Linked DNA regions of Styela clava. The protein of the gene in region 2 purifies or fractionates together with the protein of the main gene of each other region. This does not show direct contact. Links are inferred from orthologs where the notes say so. Each region holds a gene or a part of one and is shown on either strand. Other genes may lie near its edges.

Region 1 (10,383 bases), on a different chromosome or scaffold from region 2:
TCCATCGCAATCGATAGGGGTTGTGTAAAAGATCTTTAGATTGAACTTAAATATGCAAACTATATTGAAAGAATCAAAAAAATACGATTACATACCTGCTTTGCTGACCAGACTCGATAGGCTTCTATCTCAATCAGTGATGAATACCAGGCAAATGACGAGGCAATTCTTTTGATGAAATGATGTACTGTCTTGCTAACTTTCAATCAGTGTTGGGGGAAACTGGAAATAAATTTATTTTTAGTTTCTTCTCAAATTATCAGTAGCGTATCTATTGTATGGCAGCTATAGCTCCTACCATTGGAGACTTAGGATTGCGGTGCAAAAAGAGTGAAAAGTTTTAATCCTGAATTGTTAAAATAAATAATTTCTGCCTTATCACGAATTCAAAATTACGGTCGGTAAGTTAAACGTGGTTAAACGGTTAAACGTGGATGTTTGCATAAAAGCTGGATAAAGGAAATATTTCGTGAAATTATTTCCGAGGACCTTCAGGTTTGGTTTAATCAAACCCAGTTAAAAAACACCGTTATAGACAGTGTCGTGCTCTTTACGTAGTATTCAGGGATTATTGCTCCAGTTAATGGGTTGTTTAGAATGGTTGTTTCCACCCTTTTAACGCTAGATTACGCGTATGTGGGACAAAATAGTCAACTCCAAGGTGCGACTCGACGAAATAAATGGTCTGGTTCTAACAGATTTGGCCTTAAATAATTATGAGCGTGCATTGGGGATCAAACTAGCGAAAAGGAGAACGAAGAAATGCAATTTTTCTGCTATAAGATAAGCTTATACTAAATATATATACAAAAAAGATAATTTGTCGAAGATTTCCAAAAAAATTACCAACTTGGAGTAAATTTTTCAGTGCAGTTATATTCAACCGGATATACCATAAATAAGCAGGAGTATACCAAGATAGATCCCGGCTATACAAATAGCAATTGGCATACGATGATACACTAGAGCTATAGCCTGATTCAAACAATCAAATTTCCCGGCCCGTTTTGAGTTTTTGAACGCGCGCAGGTCCCGTTCAACATCGGGCTCAATAATTTATGAAGTATTTGTCTGTCCACGTCTCGAAATTTCCGAGTAAAAGCTATAGTTACAAATCAAAGCCAATATTTCCCTTTTTTATTTAGCACATATAATATTTTGTGACCAGCGTAAGACTTCTATCATAACTTCACCAAACAACTTTTCTGCGCTATTTTATTAAATAATCTTGGTTATTTGCGAAGTATATACGATGAAAATAAAAAATTGAACAAGGTGTAACATGTAGTAAAAGGTCGAACAGCGCTATTTTAGCATATTAGATTGGAATATTTTGTAAAAAGCACTCAACAATAATGCAAAAATAGGCGCTCCTGAAGTATGCGTACCAAGATGTCGGACACCATAACATAGTATGTGTACCAGGTTAGGGTTAGGCCATAATTTTAGGTACAAATACTACGGGAGTCACATGGCTAGTCCCCGAACTCCCAAAAGAACTAAAATAAGGAAAATTGCATTAACATCATAGTCTAACCCTAACCTGGTACACATACTGCGTTCCGGTGTCCTCCATGGTACGTGTACTTCAGGAGTACCCCAAAATGTGAGATTTGATAAAAACACCTCCGCCAAGTTTGAAAATAACAAATCAGTAACTAGTTAGGGTCAGAAACGATTTTAAAATTTGAATTTCCAGCGCAATCTTCATTTTCGGCCCAAACCTCAAGCCAGTAGTTAATAATTTCCTTATTTTGAGGGTTTGTGTGAGTGTTTTGTTTTTGACCGGGGGATTTGTTCAACCTCCAACGATCCTTAGATTGAACCTAATTATACGATTAAAATTAAAAGATTCCGATTACATACTTGCTTTGCTGGTCAGACTCGATAGGCTTCTATCTCACTCAGACGAATTTCTCTTATTGATGACGTAGTATACTGCCTTGTCAACTGAAAGCTGAAAATAAATGTATGTGACATGATCGTCGTATTTTCACCCAAAATAATAACGTACAAGTATTTCAATTCAACAACAGCCTTTCGAAATTGTGATTCAACCATCAAGGAGCGCATTTTAAAACTTTTGCGTAGATAAATCCTTTCAAATAATTCAGAGATTTCCCCTAAATTTATGAAATATTACTTATTTGGAATGATCTGTCGGTACATTGTGTTGCATCTCATCTTGTATATGACTTATTACTTCTGTTAAGTATGTGGCATTACCATATTGATTACATGAATCCATGGATGTCGAAAAGTCAAATAAAATGTATAAATATTACCTGTAGATTTTCCCTCGGTTTCGTTACATCGTGTCTTAGCATCTTCAATTTCAACATCAACAACAATTCTGCATCTGAAAAGTTAAGATATTAATAATACACTGTTGCAGAACTTTCTAATGCGGGAATGGGAATACGTCTAACCACAATAACTAAAATATAAAAGTAAAAAAGCCAAGTATTTATCAATCTATGAATTTGGAGTTAAATTTGAGGTTTCGAAAGTTATCTATATTTCATTGATGTAAAGCGTGCCATGTGAAATGCAGCTTACGTAGTGACTTATATCGGGCGCGGCCTAAAAAAGTGCGAGAATCACTGAATTCTAGGATATATATAATATGCGAGGACTCCTGAGAAAATATCGAATATCTGATGAATGAAACAGCAGAGCTATTCCATTAACTTCGTATCTTTCGCTAACTCGTCAATTTAGAATAAGTCTCAGGTATGTTTAGATTTTTAGTTCATATTGAAAATTATAGGAAATTGTAATTTCAACCAGAAAGATTTAGAAATCATGTTTGTGAAAAGCAATATGTACAAAAATTAAGATAGTAAGCAACAACATTAACCAAATAAATAAAAAAATATAGAGTTTTAGGGAAACCATATAACAGCTTTACAAACGCTTGTTTATATTTAGCTTACCTGAATATTGTTCCAAAGAGACAAACTGATAAGGAGTAATATTCCAGCACCAACCACACACAAAATCGACCGCGCTTCATCATGTAACTTTGCTACTGAGGCGTTGTCGCTTGTGCTTCCCGCGCGAAGAGTGGACGAAAACGCTAATTAGTCCTTTGTAATTAAAAGTTTTTAATTAGTCCCGTTATTTCAGTATCTAACAACCCTGGATCGCTGCGAGCGGATCACGCTTGTGACACGTGATCACAAAACATAAACAATGCAGATGACATTTGGTATTTGCTTAATATTACTTGTTGTGACAGTTTGAATGCCCAATTTACACTAATTTCTCCATCCAAACCAAATGTTGGAGACATAACATACATAGCCATACAATTGAGTTACATGTGAAAATCCTGTTTAATTTTTCAGACCGATGGTAACAATTGATAAAGACTCGATTTAGCGCAGAGCTAGCCCAAACTGGAGTTGCGACACCGCAGGTGAGACGCAGCAAGTTTTGGGGTTGCACAGAATACTCGAATTTTACACACAGAGTACTACCGGAATATCTAATGTAAATTTTATACTTTTGATTCAAAACACAACTATTAAAACTAATGAAACGTATAAATTCCACTAAACATTGCATAAAATCATAGAAGCGCTGGGCTTGCATCGAACTGCAAAAGTTTTGGAAGCCCATATTGAACCAACTTTCAAATCAGTGATTCGTAACCTTTTCGAGCCATCAGAGAATCCTTTTTATTACTCAGGGAATTTCGTCAAACCCCAAAGTTCTGCCAGGTTGAACCAGAACCTCGTAGGGGGAGTGAATTTTGTGCAAGGTATAACACAGGGGTGGGTACCTTTTTCGGCTTGCGTGATAAAATCGGCTAAATATTTTTAGAAATTTTTTTGCGTGCCGACAAAAATTAAAAACAATGCTTTGCTTAAACATGCACAGGCAGATTCACTATTCGAAAAAAATCAGTCCGACGAATATATGTGATTACTTTTCTTATTCTATATATATCAGTATATGAGACTTCTACTGCTACATTAACGCTGATAGAGATTGGACATTGGGTTTAAATTTTGTAACTTTCAAAAACATACATGACATACCGGTTTCATGTTTTAGGCTACTTCTGTTACGAGACTAAATAAAGTTCATAGCTGAGAACAGAGATTCCCAAGTTTATGTAGAATAAAACAAAATATTTCCAATTGAGTGTTGTATTTCAACACAAAACACCGTTGTCGGGAAATATGGATATCGTTGGACATAGGTAGATTCCGGTTTTATTTTAAAGTCTTTCCCTACGGTAGAATTTTATTTTTTTTTGATATTTGTAAGGTAAATTACTATATATTATAATGCATCGATTTTATGGTGAACAAATTCTTATAATATTTTCAATTAAGTGTTGCATTTCGACATAAAACATTGCTGTCGGGAAATATGGATATCGTTGGACATAGGTACATTCCGGTTTTATTTTGAAGTTTTTCCCTACGGTAGAATTTTTTTTTATATTTTGGTATTTGTAAGATAATTTACTATATATTATGATATATTAATTTTATGGTGAACAAATCATTAGAATATTTCCAATAGAATGTTGTATTTCGACACAAACAACCGTTGTCGTGGAAATATGTATATCATTAGATGTTATATCATTAGACATGGGTAGATTCCGGTTTCATTTTAAAGTTTTTCCCTGCGGTAGAATTTTTTTTTTTTGATATTCGTAAGATAATTTACTATAAATTATAATATATTAATTTTATGGTGAACAAATTGTTAGAATATTTTCAATTAGGTGTTGGATTTCGACATAAAACACCGTTGTCGGGAAATATTGATATCATTCGAGAGATCCAATTTCGGGTTTTATTTTAAAATCGTTCCCGACGGTAGAATTTTTTTTATTTTTTGATAATTTTTAAAAAAGTACCATGTAATATGATTATTTATTTTTTGAGGAACAAACTTTAGGATCAATTTCAATTTATATTTGAAATTTGACTTGAAACACCATTACCGCGAAATATTGATATCGGTCGAGTGTGCTAATTTTGACTTTAAATTTAAAGTCTTTCTCTACGATAGAATTTTTTGAAATTTGTAAGATCATATACTGTATAATATGATAATTTAATTCCGTGATAAACAACTCGTTGAATCCTTTTTGATGAACTGTCGAATTTCGACATCAAAAGCCATCGAGACAATGTGTATCTGCTGGTGTAATGTTTTTATCATCATCATTTTTTTTATTTTACAAGATGTATTTGTGCAAATCAGGTATGGTTTATTCATAACTACATTTTATTCATAAAAAGATCAAGCACTTAGCTTAGATTTCAATTTTCCTAATTTTTAGGTCTGACGGAAAATTTCAGGCTTGCTTACCGTCATATCTGGCAACTTTGATTAGAGATATTATTGTTCAGTTGATTTTGATTCATTTTCCCGGCAATTGTGGCCATTTTGTGCCATCAATTGGCAGACTCTGGAAGGTTCTGGTGCTGATTAAAATGTGGATATGGGTAATTTAGTAATCTGTGAGCGTTTAGGATGCCTCAAATTACCGTATAACACTGTCAGAACGCCAGCCACACACTCGTGTGACGCTAGCCCGCACTCGTTTTTGTCAGGCCATGCTTGGTACCGGTATTGCATTTGCGTTGTAGATTATATATCAGATATGGTCTCTTTATTGTCAGAGCCACCAAGTTTTTATGTAATAACGTTTATAAAGCCAGTAACGTTAGTCTATTAGTAGACCTAGGAAAATTCTATTTTCAGTCTATTCCAGTATTCTGATATTCAAAAGTTACCGTACAGTTCAATACAATTTATTTCGGCATTCAATCTAAATTTTGTATCGTTCTGTACGGTACCGGTATCCGTTTTTCATTATAGCCTATTTCATGTATTTATGATGTGCTTTTCCTACTGTACCGGTACGGTACCGGTAATAGACTTTATATTATGCATGCATGACTGCATGATCGTACAAATTCAAAATTGAAATAATAAAAATACTAAATAATATTATTTTGAATTTATACAAGAATAATGACACAATTTCTGCCTCCCAACTTGCTAGCTCTATTTGCTGCTCGAGACCCAGTTCCGTACAAACCTCCAACTGCTCAGGTAAGTGAGAAATGATTATAAATATACCATATAAAACTGTAAAATGATTCTATAATCAGATAATCTAGGAATTTGACTTCATAATTTTGATATATTTATTCATATTATAATTGTTGTTAGTTCTTCAAAATATGTCTCATGTAATGCTGGACCCTTTATAGTATTTTTATAAAAGTATGAGGTTAACATATATTTTATGTTTCACATTGTTTTATAGCTATCATGGGAGAAAGATCGCGAAAAGAATCCATACTGTGGTGTTTCACAATATACCTCACTATTTGAAGATCCCAAAGACACACCTCCACCAACCAGGGGAGAGACAAAAGCAGAGAAGAAAGCCAGAAGGGTACTTTGATATTTAAAGATTGTAGCATTCAGCGGATGTTTTGAAAGTTTGGCAATCAAGCATTTTCATAGTCTTAATTTTATGTTTAACTCAATTATCACGACCAATATACTGCTCTATATCAGGGGTGACAAACCTGCTTTCGACCGTGATCGACTAGAATCTTCAAAATAGCTCACGATTGACTAATCGGAAAAAGGGTCATACACAAACGAATGGGTGCTGAATATGCAGATAACTACACACAGCATACAAAAATTTCCCCACTGCTAATAAGCTTGGATTTGTAGGCGCAATCCTAATGAAATCGTCACAAAAGTTTTTTTTTCATGTTCCATTATTAAAATTGTTAATTTGATAATCTAATTGTACCCGAGGTAAATGTTTCATCATTTGGGGTTTATTCAAATCACATAATCCAGATATAATGTTGGATGTTATATGACTGCTCGAACTTCAGTATCTACTTTATAATTTCCTCTGAGTGCGATTCTTCGCTCGCTTGGAATTGGAAAAAATGGGTATTCTGATGCCACTGCTATTATTGCTAATGAAATTTATCACTTCTCTCGTAGTTATACAATAACTTTCGAATACTGCAGAATAGGATTGTAGAATGTATTGTAGGATCGTGTTTCAGTCAAGACACTCAATGGCAGCAATCCTCTCGCACATAACCATCCCTGCATGGGATTCGAACCTGCGAACCCACGCAGAGTAGTTAGGGGTGCGGTGGCGAGCGTATTCCTAATGCTTAGTCCGTTGAGCCACACCGCCGCGCCAAACTTTCATTTTTTACAATCGACGGAATTGACTGCTTGTAAGGAGCACGTTTCAAACGCGAAAGCGCTCGACCAATAATTACGACTTTACGTAATTTGTAACTTCCCTTCCGTAACTCGAAACAATTCCGTAAATGACGTGCAAGCCTACTCCCACCTACTACTGTATGGATCAAAATGGACTTCTATAAGCTTTTTACTGACTGCCTTTTCTCTGTTGTGCATTAATGTGTGGTCTTATTTGCTGTGAAACTTTTATTAATGATGCAAGCACTGTGTAGGACTGCTTTATTTTTCAACATATACTTTTAATTGACTGAAACGGAATGTTTCTTTCTATTTGTATTTACTGCGGGTTCAGGTTGTAGATATCGGTATGTCCATATCGGTTATCGGTCACCAGTTGGCCGATATATCGTTATCGGTGCCAAAAAGTGATATCGGTCGAGCTTTACTCAATATTCAGCCCTTCTTTTTTTAACCATGGCATGGCGAAACTTCCATTTGTTGCTTAATAATATGCTCTCGGGCTTGCCCAGACTCAAATACTGTATATGTATATCGTATTTTGCGTATGTACAGTACTGTATTCTTTCAGTTTTTAAACACACAACTGGCGCTGCATGAAATTAATTCAAGACAATTTTTTGGGGTATGTTATCAAATTCACTCAACATCAGACGCGATTGACTACTCGAGTCGTGGTGATCAACTGGTCGATCGCTGTCTACGTGTTGGCCACCCCTGCTCTATACTAAGGTTTATAAGCATTTTTATCCCTACATATACATGACTCATGTTGGAAAGATACGACTCAAAATGCGTTACTGGATTGATTCAATCAGTACCTGATTGCGAAGTGCAAAGTATCCATATTAATAACATTCAACATCTTTTCTACCATTTTTTTCATTTCAAACAGATAAAAGAGAAAGCAATACTACGTGCAAAAGAAATTGAAGAAGAAGTTAAAAATTACGATCCCCACAATAATAAAAGTGCAACAGGAGATGCCTTCAAAACATTATTTGTGTCACGCGTAGTAAGTCTCAATTTGTAGCCTTTTTTCAATGTTCTAGTCTTCAATTTTAACTCGATATTGTTTCCTTTATTTCAGAATTATGATACCTCTGAGTCGAAGCTGAGAAGAGAGTTTGATATGTATGGCCCCATACGTAAGGTAAAGTAATTTATGAGTTTTATATTCCAAAAATTGGATTTTTGTTGCAAATTCAATTTCTGCATTGAATTAAATCTGATAGAAGCGTAAATTTTTCGCTTCTGTCACGGAGTTAATTTGCAATTTTTGCTTTTTAGTATCTTAGTTAGCGAGTGTACTTTCTTGCTTGCACATAGAGTCATAGGGGGATATATATATGGCAATTGCTGCATTATGCTAAGTGCTAGAAATATACTTCCTCACACCTCTGATTACGGACGCTACTAAAAAGATAGGTATCACAGGTATCAGTGACTAAAAATGTAGATAGCAGTAGTAAATGACCAAAAAGGTGGGGTCAGGGTTACTGATACCCTCCCTGTAAACCTACCTACCTTTTCACTTTTTAATTCATCTACTACTAGTTGATACCTACCTTTTTAGTGACTGATACCTGTGATACCTACCTTTTTAGTAGGGCCCCTGATTACCCTGGTCAGTTATTGGCTTCCTTTGACATCAGAATCATGCATCTGAAACAAATAACTGGTTAACCATTTCCATATTCAACATCGACTAGTAACTGGACAAGAGGCCACGGTTCGCTACTTAGTTAGGCTGTCCCATCGACTTTGCTCCCCCTTGGGATAAATGTAAAAGTGGTATGCTAATATTGCTATATTGTTCAATCTTTGTTAATAAGTCATTTGAAGCCGATGATTAAAAAGCTGAAAATAAAACTTTTGACCAAATTCAATTTGTTTATTCAAACTTTTTTCTTTCGTTAATTTATCCCTTTTGCCAGAAGTAATTTTTTTGATTTTTTTTCAATATTTCTGTTTTTCATTTTAGATATCTATGGTTAAAGATTCGAATGGGAAACCTCGGGGTTATGCTTTTATTGAGTTTGAACATGAGAGGGACATGCACAGTGAGTGTTAAAATCAGTTGTTAATATTTTCAAATCAAGACTGCAGGTTGTAATACATGAATACTGTGCCTTCTTTTTTAATGGATCATAATTTTAAATCAACTCAATTGACAATCAGAACAACATACTACAGAGGCGCGATCTTTCTTGTATTATAACATGCAAGCTTGCAAAACCATTTTGGTGGTAGGTGTGTTTACATCTTTTTCCTATCGAAAACTGGCCATCTACAATTATTGCTTTAAATTATTTCTATCAAATTTCGGTTTATTGTTGTATGTAAGGTCAGGAAGGTAGGTAGAACCACAAGATTTCGTTTTGGGGGGCGCTCCAAATTTATCGATACCAGTGTCGTTTTTTTACTTAATGACTATAAATAAAATAGTGACAGTTTACTAAACGATTGTTTGTCTCGTTTTCCGCAGCTTAACAATGTGCTGCATAAAAAGGCGCCATTGAAAATGTGAATGTGATGAACACACATTGTGTAACTTCAGAATGTCTCGTCATTACAAAGTTATGAAAATTGAAATGATTCAGTATTAGGTTTGTATACTCACCGCCTTACTATTCGCTGGATTGGTAAGAAGGGTTTGTATACAAAAGATCTCACCCTATTTGGTCTTTATGACAAAAATCTTGCAGTTAAATTTGGTAAATTGATAAAAGCAAGTACACTGGGTCATAAAATTTAGCTCAACTCTTTGGTAAGTTTGATGTCTTGCTGATGTGTCAAAAGCTAGTCCTGGAAAGAACCACAATAGCCAATATAAAGGATCACTTTTGAATTAAAACCTGATGTTTTTATCTTATCAAAATTTGTTCTAATTCCTTGGATTTGCACCTAGTCTTTAAATTTGCAACAACTTCCTGAAGATTGCTTTACCATTTTACAAGGTCATAGTAACTATTTTATGGTAAGAGCTACGATATGTCAAAATATCAGGTAAAGTCCCTTGTGGAATAATATCCTTGACTGATATTTCAGAGCTCCTTTGGAGTGGAGGTATTAATACACCTCATTAAAAATACTTTTATTAAAACTAAAACTTATATATCAATTTATGTCTGG
Region 2 (10,262 bases):
TCTATTTCTCGGGTTGGTGACTGGCCTTGTTCACCAACCCCTCCGTGTTTAACACAGAGTTAACATCGGATTTAGACTGTCTATCGTCTACCTGCTTGATATTACGATATTTACCCAGAGCTTTCTGCAAAGCAAAACGTATCTCGTCTGTATGGTTAGACTTCCCATAGTAACTTCAACCACCAGAATAACAGGGTTTTTATGCGCCAGATAAGGTACTTCGGCCACGTCCACGGTTACAAGGGCCGCGACCACCACGGAGTTCATTTTGTTTTCTGCAATAATTTTGATGTCTGGGATCGCCATTACAACTACCGCTATATCTTAACTCTGAGCTCATCGCATTAACATGTGAGATTTGTGGTCAATTTGGATCCACGCAAACAGCTGTATATTTGTCGGTCTCAACTGCTCGATCAGTTGAACACTTATTAACATACGCTCGTAAATGCTTAGCTATAGGTTCAGCCATTTAGAAATTCCTGAGCCCTGGGGTTTCTAAATTCATTCAAAAATTGCTGACATATTAAACGTTTTGTAGCTGGTGATTGTTCATAGGCCAAGTAAGTCTAACAATCGAAATCTCGGGCATAAGTATTTAACACTCACCCACTAGCTGTAAACGATCTCTAAATTTCTTATCGGGGTTTCTTTCACCAGCCACACAGAAAAACTGTATCAAGTATTGCAATATATTGAATATAACATCAGAATTATATCTATCTTGGAGCGAAATAAATTTTCAAATGGCCAATAATCTTTGCATCAATAAAGCTATATAATCAAATTACCTTTGCGTGGTTATCTTTAGCTCTGGTATGGGACGTACTTGATTTGAATCAAATTGCGAAATTGTTCAGGTCATCACCATCATGAAAACTTTGATACTACGCTTACGCATTTTTGATGCTGAATGAGCTCTATCGTAAATTTCCTGTGGAATATCAGGACTAGGTCCCTCTATATAACCCGGTACAAATTGTACAGAAATTTGTTGGATAAATTGATGTTAGGGTGGGCTGTTGGAACCCCTAGTAAAATGGGTTTTGCGCAGAAACCATAAGAAGTTACTATGAAAATAAGAATAATAATTCTGACAATACATTTGATACGGAATATTTCCATAACATATATTTGGTTGTTGACTATTAGGATAAACAACACCAGCCAAGGACGCCGGATTAACGGGTCTAGGAACGGTTGTAACAATTGTGGTATCGTTACTCCTAACACTTGGTGTTGTCATGCCAGACGCAAATCCAGAAAAGTAACAAAAACATTAGATATACTTGATACAAAAACTTCTGTCGCACTAGAAGTTGACGGAATATCTTCATCTTTTGATTGATTCGGTATTTTACGCGGAATTTTTTTTTCACTGTGTCGATGCGGAGCGACAGGTATCCAAGTAGGGTACTCGAAATGTAAATGTACGTAGCCTATGTTGTTTTAATAATGTTCTGGAGCGATCTGTTGCGCAATTCCATACACCACAGCAGATATTATTAAAGTATTGTTCTGTCATTGTCCAGTTTGTCGTTTCTCAATCTAAATTAATTGGACTAATGTTCAAGTGTTCTGTAACCGAGTAGCCAAACGAAGTTTGATTTGATGATGCGAATTGTCCAAAACTCGGTTATTTTCGTCAAGTTGAGTTCTGATGTTGTGTCAGTAAAACCAGAAAACCTAATTATATAAAATGTATAAGAAGCTGCTTCGCTATATATAGTTTTCATTGTCTGACTCACAATTAGAATATAAATTTTTGCAATCAAAATTGATCGTGGATCATTTTGTTATTATGTTGTTGTTACCGCTTCTTCTTGTTGTTACCGTATGAAAAAATCGTTAACTATACTGAACCAATTGCTTTGAAATTTTCAGTGGTTAAAGATTATATTATTCGTTCGATGGCTATTACTATTATTTATTCCTAAATTTTTATATGAATCCGACGAGATCTGATATTTCATCCAAAGTTCCGCTGTATTATTACCTACTGCTTGCGGTCTCCGGTGTTCGCGTTAGGCTGGTGAATCATGGTTCATCATAGTAGAGAAGTCTTTTAGATTGATTCAGATTTCCTATTTGTCTTTTCAGCGATCTAGAAAAAGAATTGTAAATGTAAGGGAGTGTAGAATCTTAGCAGAAAATCGTATTAAATTTGTGTGTGTTTTTAAGGGCACATTTTTATATGAAGATGCTAATGAAAGTAAAAACAATGAATATGATGACGTTGGATTTGGCAAACGACCTAGTTCCCAAAACAATATCATTGTAGTTGAGATTGAGCTTCAGAAAGTCAGACCTGCGCCAATCACTTTGATTGTTGGAATTGATAACAAGAACCAAGGGTCATCCAAAAACGAACCTGGAGTTAAGCCCAATTGTTTTTTCGCAAGCCCGAATGCGGCGCAGTTCACCAAGAGTAACAGAAAAATAATTCGACGTTTGGGAAACCATAGTTTTTTTTCTTCTGCGAATTAAAAATAAAAGAGGAGGGGGGATGTTTGACGTTGCCTCTAGTCCTAACACTGAACTAACTAAGATGTAAGTTTGCTGCCAGTTCCTATATAAGCGGAGAGGTTTATGTTGTTCGAAGTTACAGGTTTTTCAAATATGTTTTTGCGCAATTCGGGATCATCAATTTAATGCAAAGATTACCGCTATGTTACGACATTCCTATCTTGAAATGTTTTCATAAATTCGATTTTTTTTTTAATTTTATGGAGACTTTGCGACTTGTTTTGAACAGTCCTCAGCAACAATAACTACAGTATATTTATTACACTAATCAATGATAAATTATTCTACTCACCACCGCGTTCTCAATTTTGCACAATCGATTTTTTGTTTGCTCTCGCCATTCTGTCCAGTTTCTTCATCGCATCATTTGTGGGTCCAACTATCATTGGTCAACGTGGGGATTCGGGGAACTGCTTGCAAACGATGGTATTCAGATTACAGAATCGCATGGTGAAATTTTAATTCCATTCATATATACCATGAAACTAGAAAAATATTTGTATTAATAATAATAAATGTTCACTACTACTGCGATGAGGTCATAATATACGCAGGTTAAATTTGATATACTGACAATTTAGGATTTCGAATGAGACTAAATCTAAAGGCTAAATCTGGCGTTTTGTCTGTATACTGAAGTACAGGTGTTTCTACGAGAATCGACTTACTTGACTACTTTCGCAACATTATCTAATCAGCAAGATGTTAACGGTGACTTCACAATGACAACTTTGCGTTTGATATGAAACCAAAAGAACGAGGCCATATCCGGATTCAATATGCATACATTGTACCAACTGCCATAACATTTACTTATTTCACCGTTTTTTTCAAAAAAATATTTTTCTTTTTTATTGGATTTTCATAAAATAATACAATATTGCAATAAAATAAAACAATATTGTAATAAACAATATCAATCAACAAACAATACATCATAGCAATACATAACAACATCATTCCAGATAACTCTATGCATAACTAGGCTTACCATACGTCCCGCTTTAGGCGGGACAGTCCCACTTTTCAACGTCTTGTCCCGGTATCCCGACAGGTCAGCCAAATGTCCCGCTTTGGCGTTCAACCAGTCAGCATAAAACACGAACAATACAAATTATAATGTTATTGACACTGTTGTTGCTGTGTAGCGTACCGTTAGCCTTCTTACTGAAGATGCGTGCGTGGTTTTGTTTGTTCCGTTGTTTTGTTACATTACGGATAATTGCTACATTTTGTTACGTGTAAGCATCGTACGCCAAAAGGGGGCTTAACGTTAACGTAAATTTATTTCTATTTTTCGAACTGAAACCGATAATTAGACAGACAGCGCATGAACTTTCGATTACAATATGGTCAATGAAGACGGTTGGAATGGTTTTAAATATAGGCCCCCAATGTAAAATTTAAAGGAGCAAAAATCACAGATATGGTCTTTGGGGGGTCCCGCTTCGAGATCACAAAAATGTGGTAACTCGTGAGATATCGCGTGCATCTAACAGACAGACAGACAGACAGACAGACAGACAGACAGACAGACAGACAGACAGACAGACAGACAGACAGACAGACAGACAGACAGACAGACAGACAGACAGACAAATACCTATCAACATACTTACCGATTAAAATCGATAAGTAATAAAGGTAATAAGGTTTCAATATGTTGTTTACATATTTCACACACAGCACATACTAAGTCAGTGGTTCCCAACCGGCTGTCCGCGGACCGGTGTCGGTCCGCGAAGCTTTTTTGCCGGTCCGCGAGAAATTTCGTTGTTACTTATCGATTTTAATCGGTAAGTAAGTTGATAGGTATTTGTCTGTCTGTCTGTCTGTCTGTCTGTCTGTTAGATGCATGCAATATCTCACTAAAGCAATATTGAATCTGCTCCAGATTGTGCATTCATCATATGTCGAACCAGAAGCCTATTGGTTTTGGATGAATTACATTGTATAATTAGCAAGTTATTAATTAATTAGTGATGGGACACAAGGTGTCACTATGGAGTAAGAGCGCTGTTTTGGGGATCTCAGAGCTACGTGTTGCGAAAACTTCTTTGAGGCCTCGTTTGCTATCCTATATTGGAAACGGAGCAAACAGCAGCAAAATTCTCAGTTAATTGCGTTTGCACATGATTTGGTATGTACATGTTTTTTATGTGAGATGTTTTATGCTTGCCTTTCTTATTCATAATGGGTGCTCAGCACTGCATTTCATTACGCAAATACATAGTATTATTTTATGTTTCACTCATTTCAATTTTTGGCCGGCACATTATTTGATAGTTTTTCTTCGTGTGAAAGTTTTTAAGTGTGCCTTTTTGGCTAGAAGCATATTGAGCGCCTGACATTGCAATATATTATGCAAATATATGTTATTCTTTTCTGTTCCGGTCATTTCAATTTCTTGCCGGTCCGCGAGTACATTTAATTTAATTTTATCGCCGGCGGGTAAAAAGGTTGGGAACCATTGTACTACCGTGTTTTCCCGGAAAAAAGAACGGTGTCTTATTTCAATGTTTTTTCGATAAATACCACTAGGGCCTATTTTTTTTTGGAGGGGGGGGGGTGTTTTTTATTTTCATTTATCAAAAACAAAATAATAAATTAGAGATTTTCAAATATAAAAATGTAATAACCGATATTCATTCATGTATAAATAACACGTTTTTATTTAAAAAAAAACTGCTAAACATACATTATAATACCTTAAAACGGGTAGGAAAGATTTCTTGTTATCGAAAAAAGTCAAAAAAAAAATTGTTTTATTTTAATAGCTCACTTATCATCCTTCTTAACACTTTCTTAGAAGAAATCAAGTAATATTAACTGAAAAAACTACCGTATTGAAAGTGATATCCATCCGACCATGGGGGATCCACCTACAGCTGACCAATTTAATTGTTACATCATACAGAAGTCTGCGTTCATTGGTCCATGATACCGGAAAAGCAGAGAATATAGGACAGATCATAGCGCATATTTCTTGTAGTAAAAGCTAAAGCGTCTTTTCCGTAAAGCGTGCAACTTTTGGAAATGGGAACAAGTCATTATTTGTTAGCAAATTTTTAAGGAACATTTTAAAATCATTTTCAGGTAGTTCACTTTTGTGCGCTACGAAACTGAAAGATAAACTGCCTCGGCTCGCGGCCTATAAGTAAGTATCCATTTTCATATAGTCTATGTGTCACTATCGCCTCTAGTGATGAGGAATAATCACGTGACTTGTAGTTCCTTTCCTCGAGTCTGACATATTTGCGTCTGCAATTGTTCTGTACTGCTCGTCAGCCGTCTGTGGGTGAATAATTCGTGATACATTAGAAACCTCAGTGAATTTAAATTTTTCGTACCTGATTTTTAATTGTATTGTCGAAATTGGAGGTTCAGGAAGTACAATATGGACCAGAACCAACAGGCCTTTATGAAGGTAGTATACCGTACCGGTATTCCGGTTTGTTCTCTGCTGCCTGACTGCTCTAGGCTGGCAATTATATTTTAATTCCATAACGTACGTTAATTTGTTTGAGTATCTGAATTGAAATAATTATGCATAATATAATTGTTATAGTGAAAATACGGTACTGCAATTTTGCCTCCACGTCATACAAGCATACGGTACCGTACTGTACACATGAATGCATGATGATCAATGAAGTGGTAACTTAACGTTAAACAATACATGAAATAATTATTCAGTTATTAAAATATCAATTCTTAAGCTTATAAATCATGTAAATTACATTTTATCCATACATTTGTATAATAATTCAAGTTTCAGTGTTTGATATTGCTGAAAATATTCCTTTGCTTTTACCAACTGGTACAACCATAGTTTTTCTTTAGGGAGCCAAAAATGAGAAGCAATAGTGTGTCGCAATTCTTTCATCTGATCAGGCATGCTTGATTGATTTCTAATTTCGGTAGAATGAGACAAGACCTAATCAAACATTCAAAAAAGGTTTTTGATAAAATTATTTACATTATTTTCAGCAAGAGGCTGGTCCTGATTCATATGAAAATGGTGGTTATCCACCTGGAAATAATCAAGGATATGGAGAAGATATAAAACCACAAGGTGGCAATGAAGACAGGCGTGATCGTAAGAGGAGAGACAGGTCACGTGATAGAGATCATGACCGGAGACGCAGCAGAGATCGGGATCGTGATAGAGATAGGAAAAGAAGAAGCAAAAGCAGAGAAAAACGTCGAAGGTACTGTGTATGCGAGGATGGCTGAATTTGAATTCATTTCCAAATGTCTTTCAACAATCTCAGATCATAAGCATAATAACCAACTCTGCAGGTCATATTGATATATAAATATGATTCGTGATTGGATTAAATTCAAGTTTTATCTGTATGATAAATAATATTTAGTAATTTTTTTAAATTCATGTAGTTTATTGACTTTTTTATTATCAGATATGGAGTAAGTATCAAAGTAAGTAAGATTTTATTATAAAATATTTTTATAGAATGGATTTTTTTTTTATATTTAAAATAATATAATTTTCTGATTGATTATATTCTAATAGAATTTCAAGTTCCTAATAATGCAGTTTATTTTGTGCCAAGTGATTTGGCTTTTCGGTCCATGGCTATTGTAGGCATATTTATTATATTACAAAGATTTATTATTCTTGTTTTCTAAATTGCAGCGACCCCAAATTTTTTTTAACCCAACAGGCGATCGAGGTCAAGAGAGAATAGAAAGCGACGCAGTCGATCTCGAAGCAAGGAAAAACCAACTACAGCTACAAAGAAAAAGAAACAATACAAATATTGGGACGTGGCACCATCTGGGTTTGAACACCTCACCCCACTTCAATACAAGGCCATGCAAGCAGCTGGACAGATCCCTCTTATGGCTACAACTCCAAGTCTTGGCACTGGGACACCTACTGGTCCAGCGGCACCTCTACCGGGGACACAGATGACTCGTCAGGTTTGTGTGGGTAATTTTACCTGTTTCATGAATTGAATGGATTTATAGTGAAGCAATTTATACACGGATGTATTGTTTTACTGTTTTTCAGCCTTTCTACTTGTTCCAAGCTCGGAGATTATATGTTGGTAACATACCTTTTGGGGTGACAGAGGATGCCATGATGGATTTTTTCAATCAACAAATGAAAATGTCTGGTCTTGCACAAGCGCCCGGAAACCCTGTATTAGCTGTTCAGATAAACCTTGACAAAAATTTTGCTTTCCTAGAGTTCAGATCTGTGGATGAAACTACACAGGTAAATACAGAAATTTTTCAAATCTTGATATATTATTACTGTTAGATATATAAACAGATATAAGTATATATATAAGTAGATATAAAGATTTTTAGAAAGAGATTTGATATAATTCACCGCTAGATAAATAAACAGGACAGAAGTCCAATTGCTATAATATGTCTGAATGCGATATTGTGTACCATTTCTCAACTCGCTGCCATTTCTATTTGCTTAACTGCTTTATATGTTGAAAAAAAATGTAATATTACACCACAACAGTATACCAGACTTTATTCTATAGGCTACAAGGATGGCCAAAGCCGAATATTTTTCTATTTTAAATACATTATGAGAAAACGTTTTCGAATTTGAAGTATTGTTTACATTCTACATTGGGGCAAGTGCATGTGAAAAATTACATGAAATATCTAAAACAACATAAATATAAAAGACATTGTTTTCTCTGTGTTGTTTGTTACGGTTGAGATATTGTATTCGATATTTGATTCGTTTTGGACATCCCTGGTTCTATATCACCAGATAGTGTGATGCAAAACTTACCATCAGCTATTAATACTTATTGCCAAGTAGATATCAAGCTGGAGTATTGTTTCTATTTAAGGCTCTTGCTTTTGATGGTATAAATTTCATGGGTCAATCATTGAAAATTCGACGACCAAGTGACTACAAACCACTGCCAGGATCTTCAGAAACACCTTCTGTTCATCTGCCAGGTGTTGTTTCAACTGTCGTACAAGATTCTCTACATAAGGTAATATTATGTTGTATTGAAATTATGTAGAATTACCGTAGTCAAATTTGTTAAGTCTCTCATACAGTGTTCACTATTAGCGCACTTTTTTGCGAAAATTGCGAAACACTTTCGCAACTTTTTTTAGGGACTGCGAAATAGCACTTTTTTCCGATTTTGAAGAGAAAAAGCACTTTTTTCCGATTTTGAATGGAATAAAAATTCAAAGTTTTCAAATATTTTCGAGTATTAAGTTGACAAATAAGTAACATACTAGTACTTTTGTAACTCAATTCTGCATATCATAACGATATTTATCGGAATTTTAACCTATGAGATGCAGACAAAGGAGATAAAGCTTTTGCATTAACGGCAAAATTCTTGTTTATAATATGATTATTATACAAGCACACCGATTCCGCTTCTCCCGCAAAAAACGCTCCCGGGTGTTTGAAACCAGATGTTGGAATACTAGGCAGTGCGTTTCTTTGAAGGTCATGTGACTATCAATGATATCGATGAATTCAAAATGACTATAAAAGTGTTAGTAACGTGTTATAGTCACTTTGGATGAATTGTGACCAAACTGCACGATTTTCAAATCAGACGAAACTTTTAGCAGCATGTCACAGATTTGCAAAATCACCAAATTCACAAAATACCATTAAGTGCCATTTTATTGTAATCACAATGTTGAAGGGACGTGGCATTTTCCGGAATTTTGCGATATTTACACAACTATTCCTCATTGATATGCGAGGACAGGTGGGCAAAATTCAATATTTTTTTGAATCGAATATTTTTAAGGAGTACCGAATAAACGTGGTGGAAACATTAAAAAATCGGCAATAAAGCCTTTTTACTGGTTAATTCCGTTGTAATGGCTAATTGTTCTTGTCACCGATGGTTTTGGCGGCGATATCCAGGTTTTGGGTAATCTATATTCCCGCCCTCTCCTTTTTACAAATATGAATTCTTGTGGGTCGGCGGTCATCAAAGTTTTATATATCGGGTTTACCCGTTCGTTCACATCGGCAACAGCTGTTGAAGACATTGAGGACTCAAATTAACATTTGCGTTGGCTTTAATATTACCTATCAAGATTTGTAAATTTACCGTCCCAATTTTATGGGAATGGTAATATTATTGTCCATACCGTGATGCAGATATTTATTAAGACGATAATTAACTTTGTCATGTATTTCTATGGTGATAAACTTGGCAAACCTGAAATTGTGCCAATCCTGAATGTTGATTTAAAATAGTGATTGAATAATTCGGCAATAAAGGCATTTCTGCGTGGTCATAAGACGAGATGGCGTTAATGAACAGCACTTCTTTTACAGGATATTTTACGTATGCGACTTAATGCTAAAAAGATTGGGCTCGAGTGCTTTTTTTTTCGAGTGCTCGAGTGCCTAATAGAGGTCAGGCGCTAATTGTAACTAATTCCCTCAAGTTTCAACGTGTTTTCAACAAAACAATACCCCGGCGATAATTATAGCTAAAATGTTACCGAGCAATTCACAATTTTATTTATGGAATTTGCAAATTCACCAGTTTCTTGACGATTTTGATATTGTCATGCCCTAAGTATTAGTGCAAAAAATACTCCCATTCTTCCGCGGCGGTTTGACGGGTTCTTTGTTCTATTCTTCAGAAAGTTCTGACACGGGGATATAGAATACTGAATCCGGAGGGTTGAATCCCTGTCCACTTACTGGTGATTTTCCGTTTTGAAATGCGTGAAACATTCTTTAT
Region 3 (10,140 bases), on a different chromosome or scaffold from region 2:
TACTATATTTACAAAACTAAAATAAGGAAAATGGAAAAAAATTTATGGCCCAACCCTAACCTGGTACACATACTTTAGGAATAACGACTATGCTGACAATAAGTCAATTGACATAAAGATATATGCAATGGTGATTATAGATTAGTCCGATCCAAAATCTAAACTGATTCAGAATCATAAACTTCAACCTATTGTATGAATGAGTGGTTCTCAGGCAGCGATGCGAGCTCCACAAAAGGGGTCGTAGACATTTTAGTGAGGGGGCGTAAAGCTAATAAAAAATATTTGGTAGATTTGATACTACCCGCCTTATTTTGGATATTTACATTTCTTTTTTTGGATACTCCCATTCCTTCCACATATTTTTGAAGTGTTTTTCAAACAAAACATACTTTCGCCTTACTATCTGTTATGTTATTTGTAGGTGTAGTTATTTTTGAGGTGGCGCACGAGACTTGACAAATTTTAAAAAGTGGGCGTGGCTCAACAAGCTTGAGAACCACCTGTTTAAATATTTTCAACCTAAATTTTGGCTTCAAATACTCCTCACTGCAAATATATCGTTACCTCATTTGATCCATTATTAGTCTCGGGTTTTTCCTTCACTTCCATTTCCACATTTTCTTTATTTTCATCAGTCTCTTCAATTTTATTTTCATCATTTGGTTGTATAGTTTCTTCAGATTTTTCCTCATTCTCTGGTTGAATGAAGTCTTCTTGTTGTTCGACTTCAGTACTAGGAACAGGCTCTTTAGAAACGCTCTCAGAATTTTCCATTTTTTCTACATTGTCATCGCTTTTTTGTGGAATTTCTTCTTTTTTTCGTGCCTCTTCTGTTTTCTCTTGTTCATCAGTTTTGCTCTCGCTATCTTTCTGTAGTTGTGCTTCCGCCATTGGTTCTTGATCTTCATGTTTTTCACCTTCGTTAATTTGTTGCCCTTGTGATTTTTTCCCCTCTTCTTCATGAATTTGTTTCTCTCCAACATCCATTACGGTATTTTCTTTTTCCTTGTTCTGGTCGCTCGACTCTTCTTGCTTTTCTGCAAAATCCTGTTCCACAGATGCATTCTGTTCCATATGGTTTTCAATATTCTCTTCCTCTTGTACATTATCTTTGGTTGAAACTTTTTCATCTATCGGCTCTTCTTTCTTATTGTTGGTAGTAAGATCTTCTTCAACTTTGTTTGGGGTTCCTAGCTGTTCAGTTGTGGATTTTAAAGTTGCTTGCACCTGAATTCATTAGAGTATAATCTCAAAATTACTTTTGATAGCTAAACGATAGACGTTCATACTGATTATGTTCTAAGAATATATTCGCAATTTACTTCTGTGCTGGGTAACTTGAATTTATGTTTCACACTGCAAAATTGGAAATTGCCAATTTACTAGGAAAAGGCACTATAATAAAGTATTCAGGCTGCGAAATCGAAGAAAATTACAGCAGACTTTGATTCAAAATGTTACCTGTATCTTTATTGTATTTCTGGCAACTAGCATTTTTCCAGCTGGTTGAGCATGACCTGTGATGTCATCAGTTACAAGTGAGTGATATGACCAACCAGCTGTGAAGGTGAAGTGACCATGTGCACTGGGTAGTCTGGTGCACAGTTCAGTTGGTGTTGCTTATTAAGGATTACTTTGGTTATTGCTTTGGACATTTATTAAACATACATTTCAACCGCATTAACACCAAACTCAGGCTCATTTAAACACGATTCCAGCTTAAAAAGTCCTGGTTTAAATTCTGCTAAGTCAATGGCACCCACAAATTTTAACATTCAATATTTATTTCATTTTACCCGAATCGTCAAAATAACTTTCAGAAGTTATCTATTTCAAAAAAAAAATATGATACAGATATTATTAGGATAACTCACTGTTGTTGTTGATTCTCGTTCTACATGGCCGTGATCAGTTTCTTGCTGAATTTCTTCTTTATTATTTAAGCTCTGGTTACTTTCAGTGGTGAGTCTCCTTGATCTACGAGGGACAAGAGGAGACACGATTGAAGAACTTTTATGAGATGATGAATCATCTTCTGAATCTGCTTCTGATGTTGATGAAACTAAAAAAAAAGATTATTATATATTTTTTTCTTAACGATTATTCGCACTCCTCCAAGCAAGGGTCCGAAGAGGCAGCCACTGCCATATGATTGCGCCGTCGTATCGGCTTCCCTCACCCCGTGATAAAAATGATGTTGCTTGAAACTTTTTTTCATGAAAGTACAAGTGGGGAAAACATTCAAAACCAACAAGTAGACAAGGAGTCATAGAATACACTGCTTTCGATTCTTTTGCTTAAGATACAATAAAAACTATTCTCCTTCCAGAAATGGACACAGTGACCATAAAATACAATAGAAATATTCAAAACATACAACGACTGCTTTGCAGAAGTTTTCTTTGATTTTCCATATATTGCTTGATAAAGTCATTCTCCCCCGAATCGCCTGCAATCTGAAAAAAAATATTTGTCAGTCTCGAAAAGATAACTCATAAAGTTAACTCGACAGGATGACAAAAAAATTCAAGGATGATAGAAAGATCGTATTATAAAACAAGCAAATAATATTGAAGCAAAGGTACCGTCGTACCAGTAACTCAGAAGGCGTCCGAAGAAACGATTAAGATTCCAAGCAATTTCTAAAATGTGGGAAAGAGGCTTATTTTAGTAAAAGAGAAGAATTACACCATTTGTGCAAAGAAAAAGTCGAATCGTTGAAACTTTACTTAGTTTTTAAATAAGTTAAAATTCAAACTATCCAGAAGAAGAGTTGATTGAGAATACAAATACCTTATAATTTATGTTACAACAGGTATATTTTCATTTGGAAATTTCAGTTTTTTTAAAAATCTAGATATTCTCCTCTATTTTTTTTTTCCAAATAATATTCACACAAAGCGAGGTAAACATCTGAAATAAATGACTAGCAATGTAGGAAATTGATCAATTCCAAACTAAATAATTAGCTTTCACGAACCTCTGAACTTGGAAATGTAGCAGCACCAGGAGAACTTTGAGCAGCTTTCTTGAGATTTTCTAGCTCAATAGCCTGGCAAATAAAATGCAGGTCAAAATAATTTATCATACAAATTACAAACAAGAAAAAAACTTTGAATAAGGAAATAACGAAGCACAACCAGATAAAGCAATAATTCGAAACAGGCTATGGCAATGTCGAGGTATTACATTGCCAATGCATGATTACTAATAGTTTGATAACTAAGGCTGGGCATTTTCCAATACTTCAGAATATATATATTTCAAACAACCAAATTGGTTCATATTTCAGAATAAAAAGGAATATTTTCTTGAATCAAATCTCGATTACTTAGAAGATTTATAATTGTATATGGCTTTTTTGTTGTAACATTCCCTCGAAACAAAAGAAATACTGAAATATAGAATTCATTATTTAGTCAGTGAGCTCAGTTGTCAGAAACTTGTCACACACTTATTAAACATCAATACCTCAATAGGAAGAAATAGATCAAAATTGCATTTTAAAAATACGGTTTTGAGGGATTAACTCTGAGCTTTTGTAAATAAAAAAAATATGACGCTGATTAGAAGTTTTTAACTAAACCGATCAAAATAATTTACTAATTCTATTCCAAAAACCAAAAAAAAATTATGTTTCGTATAAATATGACTCTTTTTTTATCCATTTGTCTTTTGTTTATGAATATAATATTTTCTGAAATGACTCAAAATAGCAGTGACTTGAATTTAGATTAGAGCAGAGGTTCTCAAATGGTAGAGGGAGACATAAAATTTTTTTTTAAGGGGTAGTGAACCTGTTGTTAGATTTGATTTTGCCCGTCTATTTTGGATATTTACAATTTATTTATTGCTTAGAAATTGCTCAGAGCTGTTGTGACAAATTTTCTTTGTTTTCAAATCTTCATTATTTATGTTCCATCCACGTATTTTCAAACTGCTTTTTGTATAAAACATACTTTCGCCTTACTAGCCTATCTGCTACTTGTAGCTCTGTAGCTTATTTTTAGATAGTTATTTTTGAGGTGGGGCCCGAGACTTGACAAATTCTAAAAGGGGGGCACGGTTTAGAAAGTTTCAAAACCACTGGAGCTTTGAAATCTCCCTGTGCCAAAGATTGACGTCAGATGATAAACAGAGCTTCGGGAACATTAAACATTTTTGGCCTGCTGATTTTATGAGAGATATCATGAAAAATAAAATTTTAAATGAAGAGAACTAACTCACCGCATTGAGTCTCTTTATCAAAGTTGACTTATTCCCACCAGATGGTAGATTTTTTTCTTTACATGCCGCTTTCAATTCACTAACTTTTAATTCCTTTAATCTCTTCCCATTCAGAGTCACTTCTTCTTCTGACATTGTGATTCAGTCAGCACATACACACATATAATATGCCAATTTTCTATTTACTAAATACAAAACTCAGAAACAGATAGTCAAGTGTACTGAAAAATTATGATTTCATAGAAATAATGCTCGATAAAATTATAACCTATCGGTACCTTTATAACCTAAAACATTTTACTTTTCAGCAGTGTAAATGCGAATAAAAAATACAGTGATCACGAAATGTCAAATAAGATTTGAGGAAAACCTAATATTTTAAATCAAAAATTTCATCAAAATATCGCTGTATCGACGATTATATTGCAGTATTGAATGTGACGCTAATGCTGTAATGACGCAAATCTTCGTTGTAAGATACGTGCAACATCGTAAAGTAATATTTCGACTGTCTCAACGCAGAGAAAGTAACTTATGGTCTTCTATATTCCAAAGAGAGAGATTTTATTTTTTCGTCGACCAAAATAACCTGGTCCGCCGTGCAGATGTCAGGATGCGCAGATGCGAGTGAACAATTTTTGTGAGCATAAAATATTTGTCTGAATGTCTTGCTTGTAACATTAAAAAAGCTTGGCCAGCCATAGACTCGGGAGAAAAAAATTATTAAACGTTCAATTAATCAGACCAGATTCAATTGAGTCTAACATCAGAACATTCCACAAGAGGCCGTTCTCAGGTTTTAGTTATTAATCAGTACCGGTACCGTATCGGTATCGCTGTTCCGTACACGGTACCGGTACCTGTAATGTCTGAATGTGTTTTGGCGTGTTCGTGCAGTCGTGAGGGCAAAATGCGTGCTATGTCTGTATGTATACCGGTAAACGGTCACTTTGCACTTGTCACGGACTGACGGAATAAAATACCGGTATAGTAAGCTAGGTCATAGGTAGCCTACCTGTACGGTATCAATGAATTACTATAATTATTTGTTACCGTATTTGCTTCATTGAACTAAACCACGTTACCGCGAAGTTTACGTAGGTAACATTTTAGCAAACTGAGGATGCCTGGCCTAATTTCGTAACGAAATCGTAAAATCAAACTCATGCAGCGAATTCTCCAAGCCTAATTTCGTAACGAAATCGTAAAATCAAACTCATGCAGCGAATTCTCCAAGCCTAATTTCGTAACGAAATCGTAAAATCAAACTCATGCAGCGAATTCTCCAAGAACCAAAACCCCGCATTTTCCCGAAATCAGGTTTCAGCAGCCTTGTTTCAACGCTTAATCGTCGTGGCGGAGTCCGGAATCTTACATATTCAGAGAAACCGGTGAGCAAATAAACAAATGAAGAGCATACATGGGGTTTTCTAGTGCATACATGCGAATTTTCGTAGAAATGGGAAGATTTTGAAATCACACATTCGGTGTCCTTAGTCGATCTATTTTAAAAATAGAAGGCAGGGTTTTCTAGACTTTTATAAGTTCGCGACCCCTTCCAATATATTACAATTTTCCACATCATTGTGAAGTCGGCATTGTTATGCTTCTCCGATCTTACTATCAAAGTCACGGAAGTGTGCCGCTTTTCTGATCCTATTATATGTATTCTCTCGAAATCGTGAGATTAATGTTTTGGACTAGTTTTGATAATTATGTTTCTAATCAAAATTTTGAAAAATACAATAGATATAGCACTAGTGTAGCCTACTCTTTGTGATCCCCTAAATTCGTTGCGCGACCCCCAGTATGGAAAGATATGTCTCCTGAAACTCAAGAAAAAGACAGTATTAAAGTAAAAGACAGGCAAAGTTCAACTGAATACATTTCATATGTATAGTTTTTATCTGTATTAAAATTATATTTCTAATGATGTTAGGATAGATAGGAGTTACATATTTATCCCGGGGGAAAGGAAAGCCGATAAGACGGCTTAATCATATAGCGAACCACGGCCTCTCGTCCGAAATTTCATTCATACATTGTTAGGAAAGGATGGGATTTACATATTTATCACGGAGGAGAGAAAAACCGATAAGACAGCTTAATCATATAGCGAACCACGACCTTCCATCCGGTTACCAGTCTATTTCGGGTTTGGGGTTGGTTAGCCAGTTACTTGAGTCAGATACGGACTTGTTGGCGGAGAAAGCCATGGCCTACCAGCGGTTCCGTTATAGTGATTTGTTAACACTACAGATAAGTTGTTTGTTGACTGGATTATAATTGGGGGTTAATTGCTATAACGTGAACCACCCTACGGCGGCGAGAAGTCCAACAATCCTTTAGCACAGAGGTCACCAAACTTTTTTGGCCACGGGCCTGGTATGACTCAAACTGTGTTGAAACGGGCCGGATAAATATTTTTTGTCAAAGCAATAGGCCTACAATAAATTTCCATAAGTTGGGAAATTCCTTTAATTTATTCAACAATATAAATAATACATTTCTGAAGTCTCAAATATTGAACTCTTCTATATCGCAGAGTATAGATCTAGAACATCATAGCAAAACAATTATACAAGATTTCTAGACAACTATTCTGGGGTTAGCTGTTACCAAAACAATTGCTGTCATGAATATCCGCATGTTAGCAGTACAATAGTTAATGTGACTTGTACTATCAGCGCAAAAAGCTCGTTCGACGTTCATTTTAGCACGAGAAACGTACACAGCAACAGTTTCGCCGAAAGCGCGCGCCATTAGTGTATCTTTCGCAGAAAACGGTAGAGAATTTTAGCTTATTCTCTCACAGCTATTTCTAGACAATTTTTGATTGCTGCAATTAAACCGTAAATATATACTACTACGATTAAACAGCAACCTTGAAAGTTGCCGAACTCGAACAAATTCGTCGTCATGCTCATATTGTCACGGTGTGGATGTTTTACTGTGGTTGTTAAAATAAGAAGACCAAAGATTTTGTTTATTGAAAACAGAACATGGCTCTTTGAATTGCAAGAGTAGAAGAAGCATACACGAGTAAAAAGAAGTTAATCTTGAGCCTGACAAATGAAGATGAGAGAGAAATATATTTTTACTTGTCACTCGTGGGTGATGGGGTATGCCAAAGACGAGAACCTGAAATCGTTCTATAAAATGTCTAGGTCAGGGGTGTGCAACCTGCGGCCCGCGGGACAAATGCGCCCACAAGGAAAATATGTGCGGCCCGTTCCAATTTAAAAAAGTATACGGTCCACGAAACAAGTTTTTAATTTAGTTTAAAATGACACGTGCGAGAAGGCTAATTCTAATCCTTTACTCTGCATATTAAAAAACCGCTTTTCTCTTCGAATACTGGACCAATTGCTTTGAAATTTTCAGTGGTTGAAGATAAAATTTTTCCCGAGAAGGCTATTACTTTTAAATATTTCTGTTAGCTCTGTGAGATTTGTTTTTGTTTGCTATGACGTCATTAAACGTTCTGCCGACATCGGACGCCATTTTGTGTCCTACTGTACTGCTTCGCTTGGTGTGAATATATTTGTAGACTGTGATCTGACGGTACGGTAAACCGTACTGTACTGCGAACAGACGTGTCCATATATTTGGGCGTAGCTCTCTTGTTTCAATAGCTATGCCAAAATTTATCAGTATGGTTTAAGAAATTAATTTAGACCTCAAAATTTATTCACAACGATACTATACAAATGTAAAACTGGACACTATTCCAGATTATTTTTATACGAAACAAATGTTATATAAACACGATTTGATTGACATTGCACAATTTGTGTAGCTTTTCTGAAATCCAAAACTTCTTCTTATGTGGCAACCCAATAAATGTATGTTTGGAAAAGCATCATGTAGGGCAGGGGTAGGCTAACACGATATACCAAGGTACCAATGTCTCGCTATTGTATAAAAAAAGTGTATTTAAATGCACAGGTAGGATAGTACGACACAGACTTCAAACCTACATTTTTTTTGTTATGGTTCTAATTAACAACATTTTGACCAGCTGCCACATAAATACATGGACGAATGAAACAAAAAATACTTCACAGCAGGAGTCGGCAAACTGCGGCCCGCGATCTAATTTTTTGCGGCCCTCGAACGACTTGACTTTTGATGCAATAAAACAAAAATCGATTATAAATTTATTGTTGTCTCCACACGGATTTACGTGGTAACAAGTGCTGCTGTACGTTGCCTTTTTGTAGTAAGTAGCGTCAGTTGTATGTCGTCGATGTTGGTTATAATTATAAGTTATGTTTATTAAAATATAAAAATGTTCGGAAACGGAGGGAGTTCAAATATTCCAAGAATATTCGAAAGTGTTTGAACAGAAAAATGTTTTTCTTCCTTATGCATTTCAAAACCAGTTTGCTTGTCATGCCAAGTCAGCATCGCAGTTTTAAGGGCCACTGCTTTACAGAATATTGTTACCCGGAAATATTATCCTTAGCTCTACCATATCCAATTCACGTGACTGTGTCTCCACATAAGGAAATTCAATGTAAGTTAAAGGTTAATTTGCACCGATTTTATTCTAATGATCATTTTCAGGTGATTCGTGGACGGATCAAATTTCAGAAAACATTACTCATCACAAATTCAACGAATTTTGTGTGGTGGCAACGACAAAAACACGTCACGTTGATTAACTTCCTTTAGTTCAAATGGATGGAGGAAACGAGTGGAATCGCTTTACAACCGTGAACAAAAAAAACTGTCAGAAGTTGGGTCATTTTATGATTACTGGCTTGAAATGTTTGTATGATAAAACTGGAATCGCTAAATATTTATTGTTACGATGTTGCCTTGTTGTTGCTTCTTGTTTTTTAATCGATAACTAGATTTTCCAAGTGTAGAAGGTGTTGGGGTGGAAGGTACATCGACGAGCAGGTTTAGAAGTTCCAAACAAAGTAGAATTTGTTACGGATTTTCCACAAATCGCTTCAAAATACCAAAAGAAGTTCATTCACTGGATTGCAAAATCATTGTTGTTAATAATATTCAAGGTCGTCCAACGTTTTTAATTTCCATATTGTATTCCCGATTGCACTTTGCAAATGTATGTGATTGATGGTGGTACTGAATTTTCGGCGTGCGGAATCACACAAACAAACGTACGTTAACGTTTAGTAATGACCAAATGCATTGTGATAGGCAATTTTACACGGTTCGCAAAGAGATCAGATTGCGGGAAATATTATCCATCATCAGATTCAACGAATTACAATAAATTGATGTAGATGGGAAGGCCAATCCTAATGACATAAAACACGTTTTCTTTTTCATAGAGGATTCATTTAACTACGAGATCAACGATTACTGGCATAATCGATAGGCGCCAGGTGTGTTTATTCTTTATAAAAATGAACAGAAACGTTACTAATTTATTGCCAATGTGTTGCTTTGATGTTTGTTCTTGTGTTATTTGAATTAAATATAATTCTGTATTCTCAGTTACGACGAAGGGAACGATTGTCAACTCGATAAAAATGAAATAAGAAATAATTTTGTAATTTAACTTTGAAGTTCACGATACCACACGATTCGTGATACAGTTTGTAATCGTCTGAACGGAAGAAATTGTGAAATGATAAAAGCTTTTTAAATTTAAAACTATATGTCCTGCAAATGCTTATTCAAACTTTTAGCGACTTTTATCTGAATTATATAAATCATTTCGGTTTAATCTCAGTTTTGTTGGCTACGAATCATCATACGCCGTTAATGAAAAAAAATTTTACTACATTTTATTCAATCAACACGACAGATCAGTAAAGTTCAGAAACTGGCCGATAAAAGAAACAATATTTTAGTTGTAATTAGTTTCATTATAAAACAACAAACTAATGGAATTTTTATTTTACAGAATAAATAGGGCGAAAGTATATTAGT

The links. The genes of interacting proteins can lie anywhere in the genome.
Region 1: the proteins of splicing factor U2AF 50 kDa subunit-like (region 2) and uncharacterized protein LOC120328439 purify together in Homo sapiens (affinity purification with mass spectrometry; 4 studies listed by BioGRID, with this or other methods). This does not show direct contact. The link is inferred for Styela clava from reciprocal best matches to the Homo sapiens genes U2AF2 and SNRNP70.
Region 3: the proteins of splicing factor U2AF 50 kDa subunit-like (region 2) and uncharacterized protein LOC120335474 purify together in Homo sapiens (affinity purification with mass spectrometry; 3 studies listed by BioGRID and IntAct, counting the BioPlex papers as one, with this or other methods). This does not show direct contact. The link is inferred for Styela clava from reciprocal best matches to the Homo sapiens genes U2AF2 and ACIN1.

What each region holds. Positions count from the first base shown.
Region 1 is NC_135256.1:9,927,801-9,938,183, reverse strand, and holds the start of uncharacterized protein LOC120328439, read left to right. Parts: upstream 1-5,923; 5' UTR 5,924-6,009; coding exon 6,010-6,090; intron 6,091-6,307; coding exon 6,308-6,439; intron 6,440-8,143; coding exon 8,144-8,263; intron 8,264-8,338; coding exon 8,339-8,401; intron 8,402-9,232; coding exon 9,233-9,311; intron 9,312-10,383. UniProt on the Homo sapiens protein: Component of the spliceosomal U1 snRNP, which is essential for recognition of the pre-mRNA 5' splice-site and the subsequent assembly of the spliceosome. SNRNP70 binds to the loop I region of U1-snRNA.
Region 2 is NC_135261.1:11,542,027-11,552,288, forward strand, and holds the start of splicing factor U2AF 50 kDa subunit-like, read left to right. Parts: upstream 1-5,771; 5' UTR 5,772-5,923; coding exon 5,924-5,953; intron 5,954-6,516; coding exon 6,517-6,737; intron 6,738-7,211; coding exon 7,212-7,476; intron 7,477-7,561; coding exon 7,562-7,768; intron 7,769-8,372; coding exon 8,373-8,522; intron 8,523-10,262. UniProt on the Homo sapiens protein: Plays a role in pre-mRNA splicing and 3'-end processing. By recruiting PRPF19 and the PRP19C/Prp19 complex/NTC/Nineteen complex to the RNA polymerase II C-terminal domain (CTD), and thereby pre-mRNA, may couple transcription to splicing.
Region 3 is NC_135251.1:12,561,141-12,571,280, reverse strand, and holds the start of uncharacterized protein LOC120335474, read right to left. Parts: upstream 4,461-10,140; 5' UTR 4,366-4,460; coding exon 4,231-4,365; intron 3,056-4,230; coding exon 2,984-3,055; intron 2,460-2,983; coding exon 2,381-2,459; intron 2,066-2,380; coding exon 1,878-2,065; intron 1,231-1,877; coding exon 568-1,230; intron 1-567.